Linked DNA regions of Coturnix japonica. The protein of the gene in region 5 binds, or shares a complex with, the protein of the main gene of each other region. Links are inferred from orthologs where the notes say so. Each region holds a gene or a part of one and is shown on either strand. Other genes may lie near its edges.

Region 1 (3,255 bases), on a different chromosome or scaffold from region 5:
AAACCCCTTTTTCTTTTTGCATTTGTTGGCCTCTACGTGCAAACTAGGAAAATGACTCAAGATCAAAAGGACGTGTGAAAAACAAATGCTTGGCTCCCTGCTACCTTTTGAAGTCACAGCACTGAGAGCTGTACTGAGCAGTTCACAGAGTGCAAGGCAGCTGATAATCGAGCTCAGCTCGTGGTATGAGAATGTGAAATCAAAGTCTGGAAAGTCTAACAATAGCAAAGACTTGTTAATATCCCCCACCAGGTGGGTTTTCTCATTCCTCTCTAGAAGTGGTGCTTTTAACTCCTTGTCTGTGGGGTTTGGAGTTGCAACAGTTTGCTCTGCAAACCAACACCTGCCAATCCTACAAAGTAGTGAGAGTGCACTGAAGTAATATTTAGAAACAACTCTGCCCTTGATAGGGCACGTAGACAGCGGCTCTCTTACCCTTATTCCTTCTTATGAAGGAGGTTACTGCCATCTGCTGAGGAAAAAAGGAAATCAGAGCACAAAAGCCGCATTGCCAGACCAGTGGCCATCTGCAGAAGCGCTGCCAGCCAGCCCGAGGTCCCACGGCAATATGGAAGACACAGATAGTTGTTTTTTTCCTTAAAATCTGTCTTAAACAAAGAAATGGAAGAAAAGCAAGAAGTTCCATCGGTTTGTTGCAGACTTTATGCATCCAGGCTGCATGTGTTCAGCTATAGAAAGGATGCTAACACTTCCCAGGGTGATGCTTTCACTTTGTGATGGAATAACACCCAAATTTCTGTTGCATGGAAGCTCTACATATATTCCCTGCATCATTCAGCAGTTAAAGCATTGCCATCACACCGGCGGCTCCCCACGGTCTGGGCACTGAGCTCACCAGAGTCCAGGAAGCGTCTGAACGAGGGCAGTTCTACGAGTCTATGAAAGCAGTCCTGGAATACCAAATACTAAACACCAATTCATGCAGAAGTTGGTCTCACAGGGAGTCTGATGCCGACAAGAGTCGGGCCGGCCGCTCCCATCTCTGCCATTCGAGGATCTCTGCCATTAGAGGACCCTGCTGGGACCCCCGCTGAGATCCCTGCCGTGCCCCTGGCAGCCGCAATAGGGCGCCATAGCCCAGGCTGTGAGTGGAACGAGCTCCTGACTGGCATTGCGGGCATCCAACCAAAGTCTACGACGCCATTTGAGCTGCGAGCCAATGGAGGGGAGGAGGAAGGAGAGCAGTTGCCGGATGTGAGGTGTTGGTGTCGGTGGTGGCGGTGGTGTTTTCAGCGCGGTGTGCAGGTGAGTGGGGTGTTTTCTTTGGGCCTTGTGTGTAGGACCGGCCCAGCCTTTGTTTCTGTTCAGCATTGCGGCTTTGGGCCCTCCCGGAGCCGTGCTGTAGTGATGGGCCGGGGGGGAGGGGGGTGCTGCTTTAAGGGCTGCCTCTCCCTGCCTGCCGTTGTCTGCCGCTCCCAGCCCTGGGATGCGGGCTTAGCGGATCAGGCCTCTCCTTCCTTCTGTGCCTCCTCGTTGGCAGGTCTGGTTTGAGAAGTGCTTAATGTGCTGTGTATGTCAGTGCAAAGCTGACGTGGATTTATTGGGGAGTTTCCTGCTATTTGCGTGCTGAAGAATCTCCTGTCTGGTTTGTTTTCTTAGCTTCATGCGTGCTGTGGAGTTGTCGCATAAGTTATGTAATGCACGTTTCTTTTCTATCCACTAGGTATTTTAATCCCCAAAGATGGGTGAACCTCAGCAAGTGAGTGCCCTCCCTCCGCCTCCAATGCAGTATATAAAGGAATACACCGATGAAAACATACGCAAAGGTCTGGCCCCAAAGCCACCTCCACCTGTGAAAGACAGTTACATGATGTTTGGTAATCAGTTCCAGTGTGACGATTTAATTATCCGACCTTTGGAAAGCCAGGGTATTGAGCGGCTGCATCCCATGCAGTTTGATCACAAAAAGGAATTGAGGAAACTGAACATGTCTATCTTAGTCAACTTTTTGGATCTCTTGGATATCTTGATAAGGAGTCCGGGGAGTATAAAGCGAGAAGAGAAACTGGAGGACCTGAAACTGCTTTTTGTTCACGTCCATCATCTTATAAACGAGTACCGTCCTCACCAAGCTAGGGAGACCCTGCGAGTCATGATGGAAGTGCAGAAACGTCAGCGTCTGGAAACTGCAGAGCGATTTCAGAAGCATTTAGAGCGAGTTGTGGAGATGATTCAGAACTGCCTGGCGTCCTTGCCTGATGATCTTCCTCATTCAGAGGGGGGACTGGGAGTGAAAACAGAACCAATGGACACTGATGACGGCAACAACTGCATTGGACAGAGTGAAAAACAGAGAGAACGTTCTGGCTGCAAGAGAGATCAGGTGTTAGACAAAGATGCAGCTATGTGCAGCATTATTGATGAAATGACATGAAGGAATCGTGTCTTATGTTAACTTACAATAGAGAGAGGCCAAATGGATTCTGAGGGTACATGCTGTATTTTGTTTGAAGCGTTCACACTGACTTGGGGGGTGGGTGTGAGCTGCTAAGCAGGTGAGGATATTTAATATTTTGTGTGAGTTATATGTGTATTGGTCAAAACATAACTCTGCTTTGTGCAGCGTGGATGCTGTTAGGTTTTTTGTATAACGTTGTTTTGTCACTTGCAGCTTTCTGGGATGTGCTTCATTTTGTAAATGCCGTGTGCTGCTGGAAGCAGGGGGTTTGGCTGACTGAAATGGAAGCTGACAATTCCTGCATTTCAAATAAATGTTAGTTGTTTACACGTTAAATGGGTCTTTTCAGTTATTCTAGATTGAAGATGAAATCAATATGAAGCCTGAGAAATCCATTCCTTTCTAACTTTTTGTAGTAATGTAACAATGTTAAAGAACTTAAGAATTGCTTTATTACACATGTAATGTGGTGTAACTTGTCTGTGCCTGAAGTCTGTCAAATGGAAGCTACATCAGTTGTGTTTAAAGAGAACTGGACTTGGATCAAGCCCATGGCACAAAGAGTGATTTGATAATGGATAAGTGGCTTCGTTACTCAAGCCCTCCTGTCTGTAGCATGTCTGCTTTCCAAACTAGATGTAGCACCTTTAAAAAAAAGAGAGAAAGAAAAGAAACAATCAACTTTGTGGATGAGGGAACTTACTATAACTACTTGTAACTCTCGTTATGCAAATTATAACTTGGATAATTCAGCTGTTTTCAGGCATGCAGATTTATTTAAATGTGCAGGTAGATTTTAACCATTGGGTGGTGGGATTGAGATCGCTGTAGCTAAA
Region 2 (4,148 bases), on a different chromosome or scaffold from region 5:
CTTGAACACCACTGCTGGTGCCGGACATCACTTCTGATATGTGCACGATCAGAGCTCATTTTATAACCTTAAGACTATGCCTTCCCCTCAGGTGGCATATTTTAAACTAAGAGCCTCTACACATTCCGGGCACCACTGACAAAACGTAAACAGTTACTAGAAAGCTTTAGAAAATATTTTTCATGACAGTAAGATACTTCCAGGAATATTTCCCCATGAAGACTCAAACAAACAGCAGTGCCACCATCTCTCTAAAGTCCATCTACAGCTGACAGACAAACAAGCTGGAAATGATGGGGTGACAAACACCCCAAAGCCAACCTCAGTCGTACAGCACAGCCCAGCTCCTCCGACACAGGAGCTGCTGTTCCTCCTTAGACAAAGGGAATGTTTGTGGGGAAAAACATTGCTTCAACACGAACAAACAGAAGTACTATTTCTGAACTGTAATTCTCCAGGCAAGAACATTTCTTTTTGACTCAGGCCCAAAACGAAGCTGGAGATTTACAATGAACTGTAATACTCAGTGTCTAATGGCAGAATGGGTTTCATACAGCTCAGTAATTCACCTCACTCCTACAAAGTGAATGAGTTCCCATCAACAGCTGATTCATTTGTGCATGTTTCTGTTCTGTTGCACTGAAAGAGTAAGTGATGAGCAAAACTTTCTCCCATTAGTAACCCCAACTACTGCACCTTTAACACTTCATAAGTTTTTAAATGAGTAGGACAATTTGAGGCTGTAAGGTCAGTTCTGCTGGCCACGCACTCCCAGTCCCTATTTCCTTCTTCAGTATCCTTCACTGATACATAAACCATAACAAATATCAATTTACCTGAAAACAAATCACACCAATAGTTAGCACATTTGTATATATATATGTATATGTATATATACATATATGTGTGTATACATACATACACACACATACATACAAGTATATACATAATGGATATTCTTCTGTTTGCAAGTAGACCCTGAAAATAATAAAATCATTACAGCTGGATGCACAGTACCACATTACAGGTATGGATGCCTCCCACAAAATTACCTGAGAAACAAAGAGATCACAAATTAAAATCATAATTACTATGAAGCCCACCTGCATTTTGACGGGATCACAGCCCTATTTGAAAAGCTCCCATTTCCCCAGCACAGCAGGGTGAAACACAAAGCAGACAGACCACGCTGCAGTCACTATGTAGTAACTTCAGATCATGACGGATGCCAATTGCATGCCAACCATTATTTCTATTAACCAAAGGCAGACCTGCAGTTTGCAAGTATGTAAAGTTACACACCTCAAAAATAATCACTTTTCCATGAATAAATGGGGACCTCACGGCTCCGTACACAAAGCAGAGAGCACTCCGTTCCTCTGTCCATCCATACAGCCGTCTCCCTCATGCTCACCATTCTTCCTTCACATGTATGAGCAGTACATTCAAAGTCCCCACAACAGCTCCCACAGCTCTGCACACACAGCACTGCTTCCTACATGCAGTTACGGCTCAGAGAGCACCGCCAAGGGAAAGCCCATGCACAAGGCCAGGTGATGGAACAAGTTCATGAAAAAGCCAAAATTAGACTTGCATTCATTCCCACAGAAGGAGGCCGGGACTCCTTTCCCAGTAGCTGAGCGCTGAGGGCTCCTGCTCCACATTCTCCATAGGTATGAACAAAGTAACAAATAAGAGCAACAAAATAACAGAGAAGCCAGCAGACGGAGGCATAACAATGACACACAGCAATGAAAAGAAAAACGTTCAACAAAAACATCATTCACATTTCCAGTCCATTTTCTTCTTTCCCTTCCTTCTTGCAAGACAACCAACAGCACTCCCCTCCTTTCTGCTGGAAATGAGACCCCACCACCACCAGCCACATCCAGCGCTCACAGAGGGGAAGGGCCCAACGCCCCCCCCTCCATCCCCACCCCGCACCGTGCATTCCCACACACACATCAAGCCCCCAACCCCACCTGGCTGCCAGCCCCCCCAGCACGGCCATGCCCAGCCAGAAACAGGGGCTGTGGGCAGCAGGTGCACAGCCTGCTGGTAAACCGGCTTCCAAGGGACGCTGCTTCTGCGTGGAAACAGCCAATAACATAATTCCTGCACCATTAAACCAAACAATCAATCCAAGTACAAAGTTGTCCATTACCAACGACGGAGAAATACAGCATCAGTGCTACCCGGCAGACAACATCTTCGGTTGTTTCACCCCAGGGATGGAATAAATGATTATTTCTGCACCCATGGTGTCCCGGGGCAGGCACTGTGCCAGGCGGGGCCGTACCAGGATCTGACAGCGGCCCGAGACCCGCGCAGCGCCCCGTGCCCGCCCGCTGCCGCCCTAATGCTGCTGTCACAGCGACAATAGAGCAACCCCGGCCCGGGGGCACCGAGCGGAGACACGGGGAGACACGGAGAGACACGGAGAGACACGGCCGAGGGCGCCGCGCCGGGGGAGGGGCCAGCGGAGGAGCAGCCCCACGGCCCGGGCTATAAAGCCCCCGGCAGCCGCACCCGGCGCCAAACCCGCAGCGCCCGGTGCGAGCCGCCGTGCCGGCCCGCCCTCCCCACAACCCCCACTTCCCAACCCCTCACCTCCTCGGGCACTCACCAGCGAGAAGAGATTGGAGTGGCAATCCTCCAGGCTGGCCCCGTTCGCCACCCAGTTGGCCGCTGCAGTCATGATCCTCGGCGAGCCCCAGCGCGGGGCATGTCTGAGGAGCGGGGCCCGGCGGCGGGGGGAGGCTGCGGGCGCTGCCGGGCGCTGCCCGCTGCCCCGGGAGCGCTGCTGTGCCGGCGGGCGGGGGGGCGGCGCTCAGGCGGCTCCGGCGGGGGCCCGCTCCGGCGGGGGCCCGCTCCGGCGGGGGCCGCTCAGCAGGCGGCGGCGGCGGCGGGCAGCCCTCCCGCGGGCCTCCAGGCCGCCTCAGCACCGCGGAGGAGGTAGAGGAGGAGGAGGAGGAGGAGGAGAGGGGTGGGGGGGCCCGGGGCCCTTCTTCCGCGTCCAGCGCCGGCCCCCCCGGCCGCGGCGGGGCTCGGGGCTCCTCCCGCGGTCCGGCGGCGGCCCCTGCGGGGCGGGGGAGGGCGGCGGGCAGTGGCGGCGACGGCGGGCGGGGGGCGCTGTGCGGAGCCCGTGTCCCTCCCCGCCCCGCCCGGCCGCCCCTCGCTGCTGCCGCCGCTGGCGGTGGGTGGATGGTGTTTTCCTCCTCCTCCTCCTGCTGCCGCCGCCGCCGCCTTGTTTACGCTCCGTGCGGGTCTCCCGGTGCTGCGGGAGGCGGGCGGCGGCCCGGGCCCGGAGTGGGAGCGCTGTCCGTGCCCGTCCTCGCCCCCCTCCGCCTGGCGCTGCCCGCACGGCGGCCCCGCTCACCCGCTCCTCCTCACACACTCGCCTCTGCCTCTCTCCACTCTGACAGCAATGGCGGCCGCCAGCCGCAGCTCGCTTCGCCATTGGTCGGCGCCTCCCCACGTGACTCGCGGCGGAGGGCGGGGGCACGGCGCTGGGGCTCCCCCCGGCCCCTCCCTCCTCCGCCGCAAAGATCCTCCGCGCCGCTGGGGGCGCTGCGCTGGGGGCGCTGTGCCGGGAGCTGGGAGCTGCGGCCGGCAGCGGAGCGGGGCCATCGACCCCGGGCGGGGGAAAGTTGCTGGGCGCCGCCCTGAGGGCTCCGGGCGGGAGGAGCGCGCTGCGGGCGGGGGGCGGCCTCGGGGCGGCCGCTGTGCGGTCGCTGTGCCGCCCCTTCCAGCCGGCGGTGTCTCGCAGCACCTGCCAAGTCCGCGAACTGGATCCGAGAGCGGGAACGCACGGACTGCCCCGCAGGGTCCCGCTCACAGCGAGAGCTTGGCCCGGCTCGTAGGGCCTCCAAGTGTCCGGAGGAGCTTCGCACACCGATGTGGTGGGACTGGTGTAAAGGGACCTGGGAGATACCCGACGTGTGGAACTCGGCTATGAAATCACGGAATCACAGCATCGTAGGGGTTGGAAGGGACCTCCAGAGAACATCGAGTCCAACCCCTGCCAAAGCAGGTTCCCTACAGCAGGTCACTCAGCTCAGCGTCCAGGTGAACCTTGAATATCTTCAGAGAAGGAGACTCCACCACCCCCCTGTGCAGCCTGTCCCAGTGCTCCCTCACCCTCACTG
Region 3 (3,500 bases), on a different chromosome or scaffold from region 5:
ACCAAAGGGAGGATTAGCGTGGGAGACTAGTCTGAAGAGCACTCGGTACTTCTGGCTTTATGCACTGCTTTTAGCAGCCTAGTAGTGTCTGGTGCTACTGTGATGGCAGTGACTTTGATTCTTCTGTGACTTTGACCTTTCTGCTCTCACCAACAGTGAGCTCTTCACCACTGTGTTGGACATGCTGAGTGTTCTCATCAACGGCACCCTGGCTGCTGATATGTCCAGCATTTCTCAGGGCAGCATGGAGGAGAACAAGCGGGCATACATGAATCTTGTCAAGAAACTCAGGGTGAGGGGCACCACGTCCTGTACAGGGAGCTGCATGCTGTGCTGTGGCCATCCTGCTCTGCAGAGATCTGTCTCACATAGTACTGGTTCTGTTGTTTAGAAAAGCAGTGGGGGTTGCCCTGGTGGCTCTGTGGGTCTTGAGTTGAATGGTGCAAAGATGACAGCTAATGCAGAGGTGGAGGCTGGCACCAGCAGAAGCACGGGTGGGATTTGTATGTTGGTTTTGGTATTTTTTTGTTTTTCTGAGGAGTTGTTGAAGAGTTCTCTACTCCATTTGTGCAGAAGGAGCTGGGGGACCGGCAGTCTGACAGCCTGGAGAAGGTGCGACAGCTGCTGCCACTACCCAAGCAGACCCGGGATGTCATCACCTGCGAACCTCAGGGATCCCTCATTGACACCAAAGGCAATAAAATAGCTGGTTTTGACTCCATCTTCAAGAAGGAGGTACGTGGAGCTTTGCTGACTGCATCACAGCTCCTTAGGGCAGGTGCAGCCTTGTCCTCTGATGCCTTGAGTCTTCATTGCTTGGGAGGCATCAGTATGCAGCTCGTTGTTGCCTGCCAAGCCTGAAATGGCTGGCTGCACGCAGGCAAGCTGGCGCATAACTATGTCTGAAAAGGGCAGAGCTGGGTGTTAATTCTCAGCAATGCAGGCTACTACGGTCTGAGAAGTTATTTCAACTTTTATTTTGTAATTGTGGCTGTATGAAGGAAAAAGAGCCATAATCCCTGACATGTGACTTAACGGGTGTTACCAGTGTGCAGCAGGAGATTGGCAGAGGTGGAATGAAGGAGAATGCCAGTTGTTGATGAAGGGCTTTAGAAATGGCTGTATTGCCACATGGAAGAGCAGCTCTGACTGTCTTTGTGGTTGTTGTGTTTTGTTGGTTTTTGGTTCCGTTTTTCCTGGGATACGTGGAGTGGGGTCTGATGGAAGTGTCCTTTACTGTGGGAGGAGAAAAGATAGGGGTCTTGGAGGTTCTTATTTCTTTTGTCTTAAAGGGTTTGCAAGTCTCTACGAAGCAGAAGATTTCCCCTTGGGATCTGTTTGAGGGCTTAAAGCACTCAGCTCCCCTCTCCTGGGGATGGTTTGGGACAGTCCGGGTGGACCGCAGGGTGTCTAGATTTGAGGAGCAGCAGAGGCTTCTTCTGTACCACACACACTTAAAACCCAAGCCCCGCAGTTACTACCTGGAGCCATTGCCTCTGCCCCCTGAAGAGGAGGAGCCTCCTACACCTGTGGCTTTAGAGCCAGAGAAGAAGGCTGTGGAACCAAGCAAGGCTGATAAAACAAGCTCCAATCCTGCCACTTCTACTGAGGAACGCAAGAAGAAACAGAGCAAAACCAAGAAACGCAACCAGTCTGCCAGCAAAACTGAGGTAATGGACTGTCCAACACATATGGATTTTCTGTGTCCAGCCCTGATATTTTAGCCCTGAGCCCTCCCTTCTGAGGGAGCTGCAGAGAAGTAGTGGTGAAGATGAAATGTAATTTTTGTCTGGGTTTTCTGGAGCTTTAATGCCATTCCTGCTAGCCTGGGGTTGTGCAAACATTTCCTTATTTTCTGATGGGTGGGAAGGAGGCTTCCAGCTCAAAGAATCCAGGCTTCCTCCTGTGAACTATTCCTGCTCTCGATCCATTCATGAGTTCTCAGTGCACACTGATCTTTTTTACTCCCTTCTTTTCCTTGCAGGATTTTGTGTTGGGTCCCAGCCGAGGGGTTTCATATGGAGTTGGCATGCCTACGGATCTCTTGCATCACCAAGCAGGAAGCACTATGTCTAGGCTGGCATATGGACAGTCACCAGTGGGTCTCTATGCCCAGAATCAGCCTCTTCCAGCAGGTAGGTGTGCAGGAAGGAGGTGTGTGTTGCATCTCTGTGGGAACCTCGTGTAAGAACTCTGTCTGAGATGGTCCTACGCACTTTTGTCCCTCCTGCCTGTTCTATTTCCATACATATTGATGAGCAGTTGTTCTGAAGCTCCAAGGCTCAACAACAACACATGACTATTCAGTCTGTTCCTGTTCCTCTTCCAGGTGGCCCTCGCCTGGATACATCCTACAGACCTGTGCGCATGCCACTGGGGAAACTTGTTCAGAGTCGTCCTCCCTATAGTGGGGTTCTGCCTTCAGGGATGGGAAGCATGATGGGCATTGACCCCTCCTACAAGCCAGCAGTGTACAGACAACAGCCTCCAGTGTCCCAGGGACAGATATTGAGGCAGCAACTTCAAGCAAAGTTGGTATGTCAGAACTGTGCTCTTGGCAGCCCCCACAGCACAGCAAGCCTTAGCTGTTTATTAAGGGTGTCCAGTCTAGCCAGAACTCTCAAATCCTGTCACCCTCTTTGCCCTGGAGAAGGGTCCCTCGTGTCTGTTTATCTGGGCAACTCTGTATTTGCCACTGGCTTTGTTGGATCTGTGTCTGTGAGTGAGGTACACTGGGGACATCTGCAGTTGTTGGGCAGTGAGAGGAGCATATCCTGGTGTTGGAGTGATAGGATGATAGTGGCTTATTTACCCAAGTTGAGGTGAAGCAAAAGTTACTAGCATCTGTATGCTGTGGAGCAACCTAATGGGTTAATCAGTGAAGCTACTTGTTGGATTTGGTGGGAGCTTCTGAGAGGGGAGAAGCAGTGTTCCTGGCCTTTGGAGATGTTGAAAAATGGTTCTTCTGTTGCCTTCCAGCAGGGCCAAGGCATAATGGGCCAGCAGCCAGTACGCCAGATGGCTCCAACCCCGTCCTATGGGGCACTACAGCCCTCCCAGGTGAGTCTGAGTGACCACAGGTATGACTGGAATCTGGCTTCAGTGCAGGGCACTCTCTTCATTCCTGCTGTTAAATCTTGAAATCTCTTAATGCTTCACTTGTTTTCTGGCCAGCAGAATCTGAATTCTAGATGAACAGTCTTTGTGATGGCATTTACAGGAGGATGATCTCCTTTGCTGCGAATTATTGTACCCTACTCTGTGACTGACAAAGGGTTTGTTTTTGTTTTATTCCAGGGTTACACACCTTACGTCTCCCACATAGGGCTTCAGCAACACCCTTCCCAGTCAGGCACAATGGTGCCTCCTACGTATTCTGGCCAGCCGTATCAGAATTCCCACCCCAGCTCTAATCCTGCCCTGGTGGATCCCGTCAGACAGATGCAGCAGAGACCAAGTGGCTATGTGCACCAGCAGGCCCCAGGCTATGGGCACACTTT
Region 4 (3,500 bases), on a different chromosome or scaffold from region 5:
TCAGAAGAAGACAGAAGAGCTCAAACCAACAGACCTGTAGCACTCCAGTTACTTAGCTTTTACACTTTTCATGCTCCGAACCGAGTGAACAGCTGATAGCTGTGCAAGTGATTTTGCTCCCATCTATTATTAATATTGCTGTTGTCTTTAAATATCATGGAAAAAAACAAAACAACACCAACTAAAAATCCTTAATACATGTCCCTGTAGATTTCCTGCAGTAAAGGGTGCAAATGTGCGTCAGATTCAGTCTTCTTGATTATCTGAACAAGTTGAGCGTGCTCTGTGACAAGTTGCCGGAGGTCAGCCATTTTTTGGAGAAGTTTCGGGAAGAGGAAGGTATCATCAGGATGGTTGGTTTGCAAGTGCAGTTTCAGTACGTGCACAATGCTCTCTTGCATTTTTTCAATGTGTCCTACATTTACAAGACCGGGACGATCTATTCTCAAAACAGAAGAATACATGTCAAAAATTTTGAAATATTCTTTATTGCAGGCTACTTTATAGGTTCTATATTGTAGGCTGGTGTAAATTTACATTGTACACTTGAGGGCAATGACAATAACCTCATCAACTTCAACAGGTTTTGGAACAGGCTTAAAGTAAATCTTTAAAGAAAATGTAGTCTTAGCCCTCAGGTCAAAGCATTTTTAATGCCCACAGTTATTTGAGGAAAGAGTTCATAGTACTAAATACAACCCGTATTACTGAAGGAAAAAAAAAAAACAAACAACCAACAAACACAAAACCCACCCCTTCCACTCACAAAACTAAAGGAAGCATTCAGCCTAGGAATCCAGTTCTACACTCTGCATGACATGATAAAAGAATTCAAATGGTAGGGATAAGTGTGAAAAAACACATGGCTATTTCTAGAGCCTTCGTCAAGTTTGGGAGATCAAAATAAGATAAAAAATATATCTCGCTTTCACCCTTGGTTCCCATACATATTGCCATAGCATAAGTTATTGACAGGACGTAGAGAAGTACCTATTAAGGACGTTTCACGCTTTCCAGCATAGGGTCCCACTTGCAGCTACTTAGAGACCTATACTTAAACTCTCTGGATCAAACTTCTCCGTGAGAACTATGAGGTCACAAGCTAAATTTGTTTCTTGCAAACTTCAGCTATTTCCAAGGAGAAGAAAAGAGAAGAATACCATTTTGCCTGCAAAGAACTCTCTTGACTTTTGAAAACTCAAAATATCAATATGGTGCGCAAAAGTAACTCAAGATTTGATGGGAACTTACTATCTAAACTAGCTCTTGAAGCACTTGAAAGTCAACAGACAGAATTCACTGTTAAGGATGCTGCCACAGGTAGTGAAAAGTCTTATGAGTTTGGCAGCATATAAAAAAAGCAGGCAACCATGCCATTGGAGCTGTCTTGGTCTTATTTCTCTTTTTCAAAATGCTTATGAATAGTTTTGTATTTAACCTTCAGTATGAATGTCCTTTCTGTAGGAAGGAATGGATAACATTTGTGTTCTTTCACTCACAAACACTGAGCATAAAAAAAACAAAGCCACGCTCCCAGGTGCTATAAAATTATTTTTAAGGCACCATAAATTATTTTTTGGAATTAGCTAATTAAGTTGGGTTTTGAAAATAAGTTGCAGTACTAAAATCAAAAGGCAGGACATGCATCAACAGCACTGCATTTGTGCAGAACTCATTACATGATCCAATCAGCAAGTCAAAGCTGAGCAAAGCTATAGTCTACCTCTGTCTCCATTTCTTCATTACAAGCTGCTTTTCTGTCCATTTTGTAAATGTAAATACTGCTCCTTTAAACATAAAAAATACTAATCCCCCAAACCTCAAACAAAAACACACCAACATTCTTTACATTCCACTTTTAAAAATACAGAGTAATTAGAACCCTCTTCAGCTTTAGAATTATTGCCTCGAAGAATAAATATGTAGCGCTTACCTCCACAGCAAATGATGGCAGCGACAAAAAGTGATATATCACTGTCATCCAGCTCCAGTGCATTGAATTTCACAGCAAACTCAAACTTGGGCTCCATTATATCACAGAATGGCTTTCTCAGACTTTTTAGGAACTCTCGGGTTATAAAACCGTTTCCATAGGCTACCAGCATCCCATCTTTGTTCATTACAGATGCTAACATGGCAAAGATGGCTTCATAAACTCCATATTTCAATAGCGTCACTTGATCATTCAAGTCAAGATTGGAGAAGCCAGGGATAGATTTAGCAAATTCAGTCAGTTCTGTGACAGTCTCTACAGATGTACACTGGCAGCAGTGGAAGATTCGAACTTCGGCTTCCTTATTCTGAATTCCATTGGCAACCAATTTTGCCACCAGCGTCTTCTCTGCCATGCACAAGGTATCCATATCATGTATAACAAACGGCTACGGAGAAAACAGTATTAATTCATCAATAAAATAAAAGCTATTAGTCACTGTCTTGCTAAAGAACTGAATTTGGACAAACCTTTTAATTTTCATAATAATCAGTTTTTAAGCTATCAATAAACCTTGAGTTCTTTCATATATCTGCATAGAGAGAACCATGTATTACAAAACTATGAACTGCAGTGTTTACAAGCAGGTCTGCTCTTCAAACAACAAGGTAAAAAACAGAAGGTAAATAGGAATGACATATCTTCAATCTACTTTTACACAGAATTGTAGAATCACAGAACCCTTAGAGTTGGAATGGACCTCTGAAGGCCATCTAGTCCAACAAGTCACAAAAACACGACCTGTTTATTACTCTTATGTTCATTACCAGATTTTCATAACTATGTCACAGCTGTTCTTCCATAGAAATTTTGCTCAACTCGCCAGCTAAATCATCTCTAAAACCAGAATCCTATTAGGATGTCAGACGACACTAAACTTCAGTCTTGATCACATTCTTTTCCGTAAATAAAACCCCATTCATTTAAAAAAGATATACATTACAATCTGATGAGGTATTGCCAAGGTCTTAGGAGCCAAATATAGAAATGACACCTCATCATCATGAAAAATGCTTGTTTATGCTGCAATGAGTTACAGTAATGTCAAGAATTAGGATCTCCTGAAATCAAATATTGATGCACTGTTCAGAAATAGGTAAATTATTAATGTGTTTGGCTACGCTAGACTATAATACACCAAATTCCATAGTTTAGAAGATAGATTGCTTACAATTTTCATAACAGCCTTTTTTTTTAATTTTAACTGAAATTAGGATTTTTATTTTACTGCTGATTTTATCTTCTATATCACATATAGAGGATACCTCTTCATTGTCAAACATTGATTTCCTTGCCATATTCCATCACTTTTAGGAAAACTCTGCTCATTGTCAAAACAGCAGGAATTTCACTACAATCTCAGATGCTGTGCAACTGCTAAGTAACTATTTCACAATACCTACTAATTAGTCATGAACAAAATACTGTAAGTAAAATATCATAGAGAACATTCACTATTTTTTTCAAGACCTTGGATGAATTATCAATGAAAATTAAACTGTTTAGC
Region 5 (4,185 bases):
TTATAACTTTTGGGAGCATCCCTTTTCCGATGGCTTTTACTTCGCTCTTTGTGGCTGGACTTGAGCTCCCGATCCTTCCTGGACTTTTCCTTGTGCGCTTTGGCTGAGCGGGATTCCTTGTTGCTGCTCTTTGAGGACGGGGCCTTCGGGTGCTCCTCGCTTTCAAGCAGTCTCTTAGAGGACCCCGATACCCTGTCCTTGGTAGACCCGGACCTGCTGGAGGCCTCCAGGCTCTTTTCCAACTTCCTCTCTTTCTCTGCCTGTTTGCTCTTCATCAGCTCACGGATACGTTTGTGCTGGTGGTGTCGATGTTTCTGCGTCCTTTCGCTCCTATCCGCTTTCCTCTCCTCATTCTCCCTCCTGTCCAACTTAAGGGCCAAATCATCCGAGAACGTATCCGAATCCGAACTGATATCATCGTATTCCACCAACGGTTTGATCACAGCTCCCAGAGGCGCCGCCGTCTCTTGGGCGGCCAACGGTGACTCCTTGGAGTGCCGGGATTTATGCCTCTTATGCCTTGAAGCCACCCGGTGCCTCTCCTTGCTATTGGAGCTGCCCGATGAGTGCAGCGAGGTCCCCCCGCCGCCCCCATCCTTCTTCCCCCCATGTCTCTCTTGGTTTGGCATTCCTCCTCCTCCACTGTGCTGGGACAGGGGGAGGCGGGGGCGCTCCTCCAAATCCTCCTCGACTTTCCAACTCCCTCAGCCTCCCTCTATTCGAACCATTCACCGCCCCCCGGCACCTCCTGCTGCATGGGGAGCGGGACGGAGAGAGCGAGGAGGAAGGGAACAACGGGGAGAGGGAGAATGGGAAAGGAACGGAACCGGGAGCGGCGGGGAAGGACACCGGGCCTCAGCGCCTCATCCGAGGGGCCCAGGCCCGGAGGGCAGCGCCGCCGCGGGGGGAGCCCCGGGAAGGCGGGAGCTGGGCCCACGATCCCTCCCGGTCCCGTTGTGTCCGGTTCCCTCCCGCCCTGTCCCAACCCTCAGTACCGGGTTCCCACCGTGCGGCCCCGTTCGGTCCCCGCCGCCCCGGCCCGGCCCAGCGCCCCCCGCTCACTTCCCAAAGCGAAACGGCTCCTCGGCCCAAGGGGGGCACCCGCCAAGTCTCGCGAGATAACTGCTGCTTCTCGCGAGACTCGGCCTGAGCCCTCCCCCCGCGAGATTTCAAGCGCTGAGAATTGGGAAGGCGGAAGGGAGTGCGCGCGCGCGCACCGTCTTCTCGCGAGGTCTGAGAACGAACTTTACTCCGTCCCGGGGAGCGCACGAAGCCCCGCCCCTTCCGCCCGCTCAGCACCAATCAGCATCCAGGGGGCGGGGCTTGAGCGCAACGCCCCGCCCCCTAATCACTCCCCCTTCTCACCATGACTCCCTACCTCTCGCGAGACTCAGAAGTTCTCGCGAGAAGCGGGAGCCGCGGCCGGAGGGATGGCGGCGGGCGCCGCCGTGTGAGGCCGGAGCGGAGCGGCCCGGCCGCGGTTTATCCCCATCCCTTCCCGTTTATCGACGTGATACCGGCCCTGTGGCTCCGCCGCGGGCCGCCCCTCCCCTCCCTGAGGCATGAAGGCGGTGCCGGGAGGCGCTGAGGGTGAGTGCGGCCTAGCGGGGCTGCGCTGTGTGGAGGCGGAGGGAAGGCCCGGCCTCCTCGGGATGGGGGGGGTTCCACAGCTCGAGGGACGGCGGTTGGGCCTGCAGGGAACGGCGGAGCCCGGCCGTGGGGTCCCAGTGGGTCTCTATGGGGTCTCTATGGGTCCCTATGGGTCCCTATGGGTCCCTATGGGGTCTCTATGGGTCCCTATGGGTCTCTATGGGTCCCTATGGGTCTCTATGGGATCTCTATGGGTCCCTATGGGTCTCTATGGGGTCTCTATGTGTCCCTATGGGTCCATACTCACCATGTGTGGGTCGTCGGGTCCCCTCCCCACTTTGGGTCTCTATGGATCCCTATGGGTCCCAGTGGGTTTCTATGGGTCTGAATGGGCTTCAATGGGGTCCCCATGGGTCTCAATGGGTCTCAAAGCTGGGCATTAAGCAGCTCCAGAGCGGGGCTGTGGTGGATGGAAATAAAGGCTGATGGGCTCCTGTGGTAGCGAACCGTTCGGTTGTTTGTTCTGCTTTGATTTGATGGGGTTGGCATTAAGTCCATGACATCTGTGTGTATCAGTTTATAAACCCTTCTGATTCTATAGGCCTTGTAGGGTCATGTTCTATGGCAGTTATGTTGCCATAGACTTGTGTTGGAGCCAGAAATACCTGGTATCAGGGAGATGCCTTCCATAACAATGTAACTTAATAAAGTGCTACAATGAGTTTTAGAGCCCCACAATGTATAGATTGGATTCAGCACACATTTATAAAGGCTGAGTGTGTCCCGGCTTGGAAGGGCTGTGCAATCAGCTCACGTTCTCTTTTGTTTCTATGTTTTCATTCCGCTTTGTCTGACAGAGGCAGAGAAGCTGAATAAGATGAGTGCTCTCTTAGAAAGACTTCATGCAAAGTACAACCAAAACAGACCTTGGACTGAAACCATGAAGCTGGTCCGTCAAGTCATGGTGAGAAGTGCTGGGGTTTCCTTTACAGTGATGCTCAACACTCAGTGTTATCTCAGTCAGATGCAGCTTTGAAATACCTTGGTGAGGGTAGAAAGGAGTGGGAGGCAGGGAAGAGCATCATCAAAAGCTGCTGTATGTGTTGTGGTGTTAAAGTTAATCTCTCTTTGTTTCTCTTGCTCCTCTCATATAACTCGTAGCTTATGCTATTTAAGAAGTTGTTGCAGTCTGATCTTTCACAAGAGCAAGCTTAATAATCAATTCCAGACCTGCCTGTTTTACCCACTGCAAATATGGATATGATTCTGGTACAGGAATCGCAATGAGGGTGTAATTTGGGGATGAAATCCAATCTGCCTTTAATTACCTGAATAAACCTCACTCGACTGAATGAAAATTGCAGTAATTTTCCTCTCATGGAGTGAAACTTTAAAACGACTGTTTTTCTTCTTTCTGACGTAGGAAAAACGACTTGTGATGAACTCTGGGGGGCACCAACATCTGGTGAGCTGTTTGGAGACCTTGCAAAAAGCATTAAAAGGTTGGTACGTGCTGTGCCTGCACTCAGGAAATGCTTAACAGTGATATACTATGGAAATACTCTGTATTAGAGGAACCTGCGAGGTTATTGCTTGCAAAGCTCAGTGTGCTCGTGGTGCTTATAGAAGCATGCTTATTTCTTGTGAGTCATTATCAGCCAAAATTGCCTGTGTTGCTTTTATTCTTATTGCCCATACATGGATTCCACTTGTGGATGAAAATCCACACTGAGAATGTTTGTTTTTCTCTATGCAAAACGATTCTTGTTTTTTGAGTATGGAGTGGGTGTGAGTAAGTAGTTGGGATTGCTTTTAATGCTGATACATCATTACTGGAAAGATGTTCAGTCGTATCACTAAGGCTTATTTTTGCTTTCTTTGTCTAGTGTCTTCTCTGCCTGCCATGACAGATCGCCTGGAGTCCATAGCCAGACAAAATGGGTACATCTTCTCCTTTGTTTCACAGCAGTTTTGTATCTCCTACTTATCTGTATACATCATAATTTTGCTGCTGGTTTGACTGTTTCTTGTGTGTATCTCTTAGTAATTTTTGCTTTGTTTTGTATTTAAGCCTTGGATCACACCTCAGTGCAAATGGCACCGAATGTTACATCACTTCAGACATGTTCTATGTGGAAGTCCAGTTAGATCCTACAGGGCTGCTATGTGATGTCAAGGTGGCTCACCATGGAGAGAATCCTGTGGTACGTATTGCTAAGAAATACAAGAAAAATACCTTTGTTTTTGGAACTGCAGTTTTGCTTCCCTTTTTCTTGTGCAGAGAAAATGGATTGTACTGAACATTCCCCCAAACCTAATGTTATATCTGCTTGTTCTGCTGCTTCTGAAAGTTTCATTTCTGGGGGAAGAATAGGGAAATTAATCTTGTATTTGTGAGTGTTTTGTTGCTTCTCATCAAAACTGATGCTCACAGACTTCACTGTCCTGATATTTTACAGCTGCTGTGCTGCACAAAGACTTACACTGAAGCATTTGATGTTGATTTTGCTGTGTGTTCTTTCCTTTTCAGAGCTGTCCAGAATTGGTGCAACATCTGAGGTGAGCAACAAGAGCTGTTGCATCATTCTGATTTTG
Region 6 (3,500 bases), on a different chromosome or scaffold from region 5:
ATATAAAAATCACTTTTAATGGCAAGCCACAATTTTCTCAAAGCAAACCAAACCAGTAATGAACTACTTGTTTTGAGTGGACAGTGTTACCCTTCTGCAGCTTGGTTTAACATTTGATTCCTTACACTGAGAAATCTTAGTACATTTGCTCCAGCGTCAGAGAAAATGATGCAGTTTTAAAGAATAAACTTCCAAAATGCTTGACACAAACAAGCTATTTATTCTTCAAGTTCTTTGTCAAAGATGGTATTAAAAAAATTCTGTCCATTTCATGAACACAGGAAAGATCCCAGGATGTCTTGAGTCAAAGTGGTCCGTAAAGAAGTTCTTTGGAATGTCTTAAGATTGGCTATAACTAGAGTTCTGGCTACCGTTTGGACCCTGTTCTCCTTCACTGTTTGAAAGGAAAAGAAACACGTCTCAGAACAGCAGCACCGTACTGCATTTCTGTCTTTTGCAAACAGAAAACATTTATTCATGTATTTGAACAGCGATTTCAAAATATTCCAATGCAACTCCATTCTGAATTCACTCCTGAAATCAGCGTTTCAGAGTTCCCATAACAGAAGCTCACACATAGGAATTTGCACGTGCAGATTCCACGTAATGATATTTAATCACAGCAATTAAACATGACATCAAACAGGCACTGTTCTAAAGAATCGTGCCCTTTCATCAGGCCTCACACTGCTCCTTTTAAACTGTATTGATCAGATTCTAACTACATTACTGCTTTCCATGAAAGAGCAAATATTCTCCTCCTGAACAGTCTGACTGGGTACTTAGAGGAAAGCCGGCAGTGCAGTCATACACTATGCCTCAAACTTAACATAGCACATAAGATAATACTTTATTTTTTCCCATATGAAAGGTGCAGTAAATAATGGAGGTATGGTACCTGTTTGGAGGTGGTTTTGGTTTAGGCATTTTGCTAAGGATAGTAGCCATCTCTTTTCTCTCATCAAAGTTCTTCCACTGCTCATACAGCTTCAGAATAACCCTGATTATTTCTAAAATCTGATTTGAAAGAAAGTACATTTTAGGTCAATCACAATAGTGACTTTTATATTTATATCATCATTTGCAGTGTACAGTTAATTATCCATTTCTCAAACTCAAATTAAGAAGCATAATTCTCATGATAGAAACAGAGCTGTCTCCTATATAATCCGGTCTGGCAATCAACCATTTTTGCAAAGAGTTTTTTGGCTTAACTGTTGAACTGAAGCCTGACAGAACCAATATCTCTCTCTCCCACTCCATTTCCCTCCCACTTTATCAACCATTTCTCCTCCCAAAGTCGAACGGCTGCTTATATTTGATGCTACTGGGAAAACAAGGACACTTGGCAACGTGTTTGTTGCTAAATGATTACGGATTACAAATGAAGTAACTGATTATTGTCTGTGTTCTATACCAGCCATGGGGGCACAGTACTAAAAACAAATGAAACCAACCAACGGTGCCCTGAATTCTTTACTTCCAAAATAATAATAAAAATAAAATTAAAAAAATCAAGAGCTAGGAAGTGTCTCAATACTTTATAATAAGAACTGTTGAATTTTCAAACTCTATTTCCAGAAGTATAAATATTCTCTACCAGTTTGGAGGCTACATTAATTTCCTGTTAATTTTCTAGTGCAATATTCTACACAGAAGGTGGATAAATACTGAATAACCCCACTTGCAAGGGACCCACATGGATCAGGTCCAACTCCAGCTTCACAAAGTGCCACCCAGAAATCAAACCATGTTTGCTTCATTATTTGTTTCGCCACTTACTAAATTAATGAAGTAAACTTCTTTCCAGTTTATGGACTTTGATCAAATGCTAGAACAATATACATCCTTGAACCAGAAACTATGTTTGGCTATGAAGTTCCATAGTGTTAAAGGTTAAAAATAATAATAATAATCTAAAAATTAATTTTTTTTAAAAAAAATCAAGCTTAGATGTAATCACTGGTAATGGGAACAGAAACGTTTAAACATTCAAACACATTCAACACCAAGCCTATGATAACCTTACATGTCAAACATATGTTGTTTATTAGAATACTGTTCAATCTTGAGCAATAAATATTGGGAATTCTTTTTTCTTCTAGCAAAAAAATTAAATAAACAAACAAGATACTGGTTTTCTATTTCAGTCTGTAAAATGGCAACAGCAGCAATGCTCTGCCCTTATGTCTTGTCTTTCAGTGCAGAGTGATACCCAAATGACCTGACATTTCCTATCTCCTACCTAATTTCAATAGTCCGTAATGCGATTGCTGAATGAAGTTCAAATCAGTATCACACACATGCAAAACAGGTTCAAACCACTGCTAACATTTCTAGTCAGTCCATAGCAGAGGGCAGGAGGTAAAAAGAGAGTACCTTTTCCATATCAACAGATAGCTCAGCAAACCATTGCCTCGCATCCTTCTGCTGGACAACACAGGCCACGTGTAGGCAAGCTGCAAAGATCAGGTGATAAGAGTGAATCATTGTTGAGTATCTCTTAATACACTTAGAAATACTCTCCAAGTCAGGTACTTTTCTATGGTGTTTGGAGTTCCTCAGTTCCTCTGCAAAAAATCTCAGCGAGTTTTCAAAGAAGAAATCTGGGGATTAATTACCTGATTTTTCTTCAAGGCTTTCTAAGTTGCAAGGTTATACTGTCAGTACTGTATGAAATATAAACTGGAGAAGCTTAAGAGAGCGTACTAAGGAAAACTTGTTGATGGGACAAAGTACAGAAGGCATCTATTTAAAGGTGACAGTGACGTTACTTGTGTTACTTACCTAGAGCTATCATGAAAGGAGGGTACAGCAGACAAAGATCAGTTCTATACGTGTCATTCACTATCCTCCTGTGCAAAACAAAGAGAGCATAACAACTCCTTTAGACTACATGATTCATAAACATTTTGCCAGTTACCCATGTGGTAGAAACAAAGAGTATACAGGGCAAAATAGAGAAAGTGAGATCTCTTCCTCTTTAAAAGTCTATTAAAGACAACCATTGTTTTCCTTGCAATCACTGCAGAAGTCTGTTTGGAAACACTATTATAACATCATCAGTGCCATTCTGCAGAGTGTGTTCTCTTCTACCATAAATTAATTATCCCTGCTCCGCAAATAAGCAAATTGAAGCAAAAGTAAAGGTAGTATTTTTATTGTCTGTATTGGAGAAACAATTAAAGTGTTTAAGGAGTTCTGTTTTACCAGTCTAAGAAACAGAACCATGTACTGCTTTTACTGAAAGCTGACTCTAACAGAAAGATAGCTGTGTCTACACAAAGTCGACATTTAACAGTGTAAAAATGGTGCTATTGGAGCTGTTCTAAAAATAAAAACCAGAGCATTTCAAAGTAGAAACCATTACAGGGTTAAAAACAATAATTTAAGCCAGTGACACGTGTGCATAGGTTAACTAGTATACCCTTTGTATTATTTAGCCTGCTAAGCCATCTCTGAGGCATAACTGTTAAACACTCGCTTTCTTGCTGAAAGGA
Region 7 (3,500 bases), on a different chromosome or scaffold from region 5:
AGTTTTGGAAGAACTGTATTCTGTTGTCTTAGTATCTGAAAGACTGTTAAGACAGAAGTCCAAGTATTCACTACTATGGGGGGTGAAAGGAAAAGGTGTGAAGCAATGCATTCAGAAGCTACCTGAATGAAAGCATGTTCGATGTTTGAAGGCTGAAATGCACTAATCAAATATTGTACTTCTTTGTGGAAATGTGCACACAATTCATAGAATATTAATGGAATAAACATTACTGTGTTAGCAGATTATTAGGCATGGAGGAGATGAAGTACAATAGCATCACCACAGTAGGAATAAAAGCCTGAGCTCACAGGCAACTTACCATGGAATTTGTATAAACCTCCCAGATGATCCAGTAAGGTTTCTAGTGACTTAGACACTGGAAGCAGTTCCAGAAATCTATGGATTACAATGTCAAACACCGGCAGAAATCGCAGGCACACATTTCCAAAATAAATTGGAAGATACTGGGGCTGGATCTGAACTGGGGGATTGACTTGCTCTGCCAAGCCTTCAAAATACAACTTTTCAGGATATTTCTGGAGGGAAAGAAACCAAACAAGCTTAAAAGCTATTTCTTTAAAAGCACCATGTTAAATATTCAGCACCTACACTGCTTTAAAAGACTCTTCATAACCCTCATTACCACTCATAACTGCAATAAGAGGTTATCAGCACAAAGCTTACTGAAGAAAAACTATCTTTTGAGTGAAATCACACAATGGTTATGACTAGAAGATACATATTCAGAAAAAATCCCATAAGTTTCACCATCATTTGAAGGAGCATAAGGGAGCAATAAGTAAACCAAGGCAAAGCTAAAAGCAACTAGTCGCTATGTGTCCCTTGTCAAGTGTTTTAAGAGGAAACCTAGAGGAAATTAACACCACTGAAAGCTTTTGCATCATGTACTAAATCAGAACACCAGAAATAAGACACATGTTACTCCCAGGGAAAGATCTGGAATGTAATCAAATACCTGATGAATATAGCTGAAGCACGTGCACAGTATTTACCTGTGACTGAAACCTCCACATGCCACACTGAGTCCAGTAACTCTATAGCAATGACAGAGCACTTCCCAGATTAATATAACTTGGTCTTCAACTACATATTCACTTTTAGAAAGTTAAGACACTGTACTGCCAGTGCAGAAGCAAATGGGGACCAAAAGGCTCCCGGATCAGAACTGTATCTGCTTAGTTGCACGAGAGTTTAGTTGTGCCTATTTTGATCCAGCATTTATGTATCCTTTGATAGAACGCTCCATCATACATCTCTTTTTAGCCAGCAGAAGCCAATATGTTTACAAAAACATTAAAATCTCATCAATTCTCTTCCCTGGCGTGTCTAGATATTGTATTCTTCTCACACGGGAGATGAAAGAAACTTTAATAATTAGGAGAAAAATGTAGATCTAACTGTTGTACTAGTCATATAAGAACAGAAGGGAATATACCTTCTCCCTGGTGCACAAGAACTCCATCCTAGATGAATCTCAATAAAAACAAAGTTTTAAAATGATTGGATTTAAATGAACAAGGGTTTCTAATCAGCCCTTCAGATGCTCCCATCTTTGGATATTACAGCATTATAATTTGAACACAATCACATAAACACAGCATTGCTTTTCTATATTAACTCAAACAAATTACTACTTAAGTAGCTCTAAAAATCTACAGAACTGTCGTGTAATTTTCAAGAAAAAAAGACTTCTTAGCTGATCTGAACTCTACAGGAAGTATTAGAATACAATGGTTTTATTAACTTCAATACCTTGTGATAACTCATGTGCTTAGTATGCCAGTCATTCTGCAGCCAATGCTCTGGAGAATTCTCTTTCACAAAATCACTCACTCTGTTTCTGAAATCATTAGGTTTGAGTAAGAGTAATTGAATAATGAAGTAACAGACTTGAGCTTCATTTCCTTCATGACTACGCATAGCCTTCAAACAAAAAGAAAACATGGAATTACAGAGTGGATGCTGCTGTCTGCTTAAGAACCGCTAGACAGTAGTGAGCCAGTATAGCTGAACATGACATAGATCTGCACATAAATCCACAGTGAAAATATAGTCTCTCAGCTGTATTTTTGGAATGTAGACAGAACACAGGTAGGCTCCACCACTACTGGAGAAAAGTAATCATCACTTTTTCTACTCTGTAAAGAATAAAATCTCAAAAAATTCCTGGTGCAAATATATTCCCTGAGAGTTCTATTTCTCTCTCCATTGAAAATAGCTTCATTATCATTAATTGGTTAAGGCTGCTTCGAACTTCCAGCCACTCTATCATATTCACACTTGAGTTTGAAGTCCCCATTAAAACTCAAAGAGCTTTATAATTTAAAATCTCATCTTAGTACAATTATGACTGAAAATTTATTTCTATCTGGCTAAGTTCTGCTTTTCTTTAATTTACAAGATAACCTGAAAAGACAGAATACCATTTCTCCTCTATTTTTCTGATGAAACAGGCTGAATTCCAAGCAAAAAGACTATAACTTTAGCAGTCACAGGGCTATCCATTTGTTTCCAAACAATGGCATACTACACTCCTGACTTTTCCAAAAACAGAAATAATTGCACAGCTCTGAGATCAAAGATCCACAGCACAAAAAATAAAGTTCAATAATAATGTTTCAATGGTTGTCTTTAAATAACCACAAAAGGTTTCCCCTGCAGATTCAGGTAACTGTAAGACTGACTTTTTCATTACTTACAGAACTGATCTATTATTTTCCTTATCAAATAGTCAACATTTGAAGCTGATACACTTTAAAAAAAAAAAAAAAAAAAAAAGTTCTCACAAAAGCATCACAGAAAGCAAGGACCAAACTCCAAGCAGGAAAAGCTCTTTTAACACTATACTTACCAAACAAAGTATCAACCTGTCCAGTGTTACAATGTTGTATTTCCACACCATGTCATTGAGAATCTCAATACATTTGTTGAGCTGCTGACCTCCCGCAGAGGTAGAGAATTCATACACCAAGAAATCCGCAAAGGTCCTGACATGTGCCACAAGAGCTCTGGCCCCAATTCTTTCTAGTACTCTATCATAGAAGAAAAAAAAAACCAAAAAAACAAAGCTAGTCAAGAATGTTTAGAAGCAAATCAACAAATGTCACACTCTTTTTAATACATTTTCACCTGGAATATTTTCAATGAATGACTGAGTCAGTACTCTGGCACAGAATACGTGCTTTCATTATGCATTTTTATATGATTTCATAGATAATATGCATATCTAGTAGCCCAATGCAATTTTACTGGGAGCTGGGATTGTTTAGGCTGGAGAACAGGAGGCTCAGGGGAGACTTCATTACAATCTACAACTTCCTGAAGGGAGGATGTGATGAGGGGCTTGGCCTCTTCTGCCAACAAAACAAACAGGACCTGAGGAAATGGCCACAAGTTGTACCAGAAGAGGTTTAGATTAGACATAAGAAGGAACATTTTCTCTCAGAGTGGTCAGGCACTGGAATGGCTGCCCAGGG

What was found.
Region 1: MED1 (region 5) and MED7 share a complex: the UniProt entries of both Homo sapiens proteins name them as parts of the mediator complex. The link is inferred for Coturnix japonica from reciprocal best matches to the Homo sapiens genes MED1 and MED7.
Region 2: MED1 (region 5) and MED13L share a complex: the UniProt entries of both Homo sapiens proteins name them as parts of the mediator complex. The link is inferred for Coturnix japonica from reciprocal best matches to the Homo sapiens genes MED1 and MED13L.
Region 3: MED1 (region 5) and MED12 share a complex: the UniProt entries of both Homo sapiens proteins name them as parts of the mediator complex. The link is inferred for Coturnix japonica from reciprocal best matches to the Homo sapiens genes MED1 and MED12.
Region 4: the proteins of MED1 (region 5) and PPARA are in contact, whole or in part, in a crystal structure (PDB 9IWM), measured with the Homo sapiens proteins. The link is inferred for Coturnix japonica from reciprocal best matches to the Homo sapiens genes MED1 and PPARA. Residues at the interface, in NP_004765.2 of Homo sapiens: Asn638, Thr639, Asn641, His642, Pro643, Met644, Leu645, Met646, Leu648, Leu649, Lys650; in NP_001001928.1 of Homo sapiens: Val284, Thr285, Thr288, Glu289, Lys292, Phe297, Leu302, Asn303, Gln305, Val306, Thr307, Leu309, Lys310, Pro458, Leu459, Glu462, Ile463.
Region 6: MED1 (region 5) and CCNC share a complex: the UniProt entries of both Homo sapiens proteins name them as parts of the mediator complex. The link is inferred for Coturnix japonica from reciprocal best matches to the Homo sapiens genes MED1 and CCNC.
Region 7: MED1 (region 5) and MED23 share a complex: the UniProt entries of both Homo sapiens proteins name them as parts of the mediator complex. The link is inferred for Coturnix japonica from reciprocal best matches to the Homo sapiens genes MED1 and MED23.

The regions. Positions count from the first base shown.
Region 1 is NC_029528.1:6,561,722-6,564,976, reverse strand, and holds MED7 (mediator of RNA polymerase II transcription subunit 7), read left to right. Parts: upstream 1-1,160; 5' UTR 1,161-1,266; intron 1,267-1,473; exon of another isoform or gene 1,474-1,501; intron 1,502-1,684; 5' UTR 1,685-1,702; coding exon 1,703-2,395; 3' UTR 2,396-2,755; downstream 2,756-3,255. UniProt on the Homo sapiens protein: Component of the Mediator complex, a coactivator involved in the regulated transcription of nearly all RNA polymerase II-dependent genes.
Region 2 is NC_029530.1:10,337,043-10,341,190, reverse strand, and holds the start of MED13L (mediator of RNA polymerase II transcription subunit 13-like), read right to left. Parts: upstream 2,801-4,148; 5' UTR 2,699-2,800; coding exon 2,627-2,698; intron 1-2,626. UniProt on the Homo sapiens protein: Component of the Mediator complex, a coactivator involved in the regulated transcription of nearly all RNA polymerase II-dependent genes.
Region 3 is NC_029519.1:2,301,195-2,304,694, reverse strand, and holds part of MED12 (mediator of RNA polymerase II transcription subunit 12), read left to right. Parts: intron 1-156; coding exon 157-292; intron 293-573; coding exon 574-735; intron 736-1,292; coding exon 1,293-1,670; intron 1,671-1,984; coding exon 1,985-2,135; intron 2,136-2,329; coding exon 2,330-2,535; intron 2,536-2,979; coding exon 2,980-3,060; intron 3,061-3,297; coding exon 3,298-3,500. UniProt on the Homo sapiens protein: Component of the Mediator complex, a coactivator involved in the regulated transcription of nearly all RNA polymerase II-dependent genes.
Region 4 is NC_029516.1:65,574,271-65,577,770, reverse strand, and holds part of PPARA (peroxisome proliferator-activated receptor alpha), read right to left. Parts: intron 2,382-3,500; coding exon 1,934-2,381; intron 440-1,933; coding exon 192-439; 3' UTR 1-191. UniProt on the Homo sapiens protein: Ligand-activated transcription factor. Key regulator of lipid metabolism. Activated by the endogenous ligand 1-palmitoyl-2-oleoyl-sn-glycerol-3-phosphocholine (16:0/18:1-GPC). Activated by oleylethanolamide, a naturally occurring lipid that regulates satiety.
Region 5 is NC_029542.1:3,842,918-3,847,102, reverse strand, and holds the start of MED1 (mediator of RNA polymerase II transcription subunit 1), read left to right. Parts: upstream 1-1,385; 5' UTR 1,386-1,562; coding exon 1,563-1,590; intron 1,591-2,447; coding exon 2,448-2,554; intron 2,555-3,013; coding exon 3,014-3,092; intron 3,093-3,476; coding exon 3,477-3,531; intron 3,532-3,661; coding exon 3,662-3,794; intron 3,795-4,120; coding exon 4,121-4,149; intron 4,150-4,185. Other genes in the region: CDK12 (cyclin-dependent kinase 12), read right to left, coding at 1-629. UniProt on the Homo sapiens protein: Component of the Mediator complex, a coactivator involved in the regulated transcription of nearly all RNA polymerase II-dependent genes.
Region 6 is NC_029518.1:64,955,311-64,958,810, reverse strand, and holds part of CCNC (cyclin-C), read right to left. Parts: intron 2,856-3,500; coding exon 2,788-2,855; intron 2,460-2,787; coding exon 2,380-2,459; intron 1,018-2,379; coding exon 899-1,017; intron 395-898; coding exon 340-394; 3' UTR 1-339. UniProt on the Homo sapiens protein: Component of the Mediator complex, a coactivator involved in regulated gene transcription of nearly all RNA polymerase II-dependent genes.
Region 7 is NC_029518.1:51,943,080-51,946,579, reverse strand, and holds part of MED23 (mediator of RNA polymerase II transcription subunit 23), read right to left. Parts: intron 3,057-3,500; coding exon 2,876-3,056; intron 1,948-2,875; coding exon 1,777-1,947; intron 540-1,776; coding exon 323-539; intron 1-322. UniProt on the Homo sapiens protein: Required for transcriptional activation subsequent to the assembly of the pre-initiation complex. Component of the Mediator complex, a coactivator involved in the regulated transcription of nearly all RNA polymerase II-dependent genes.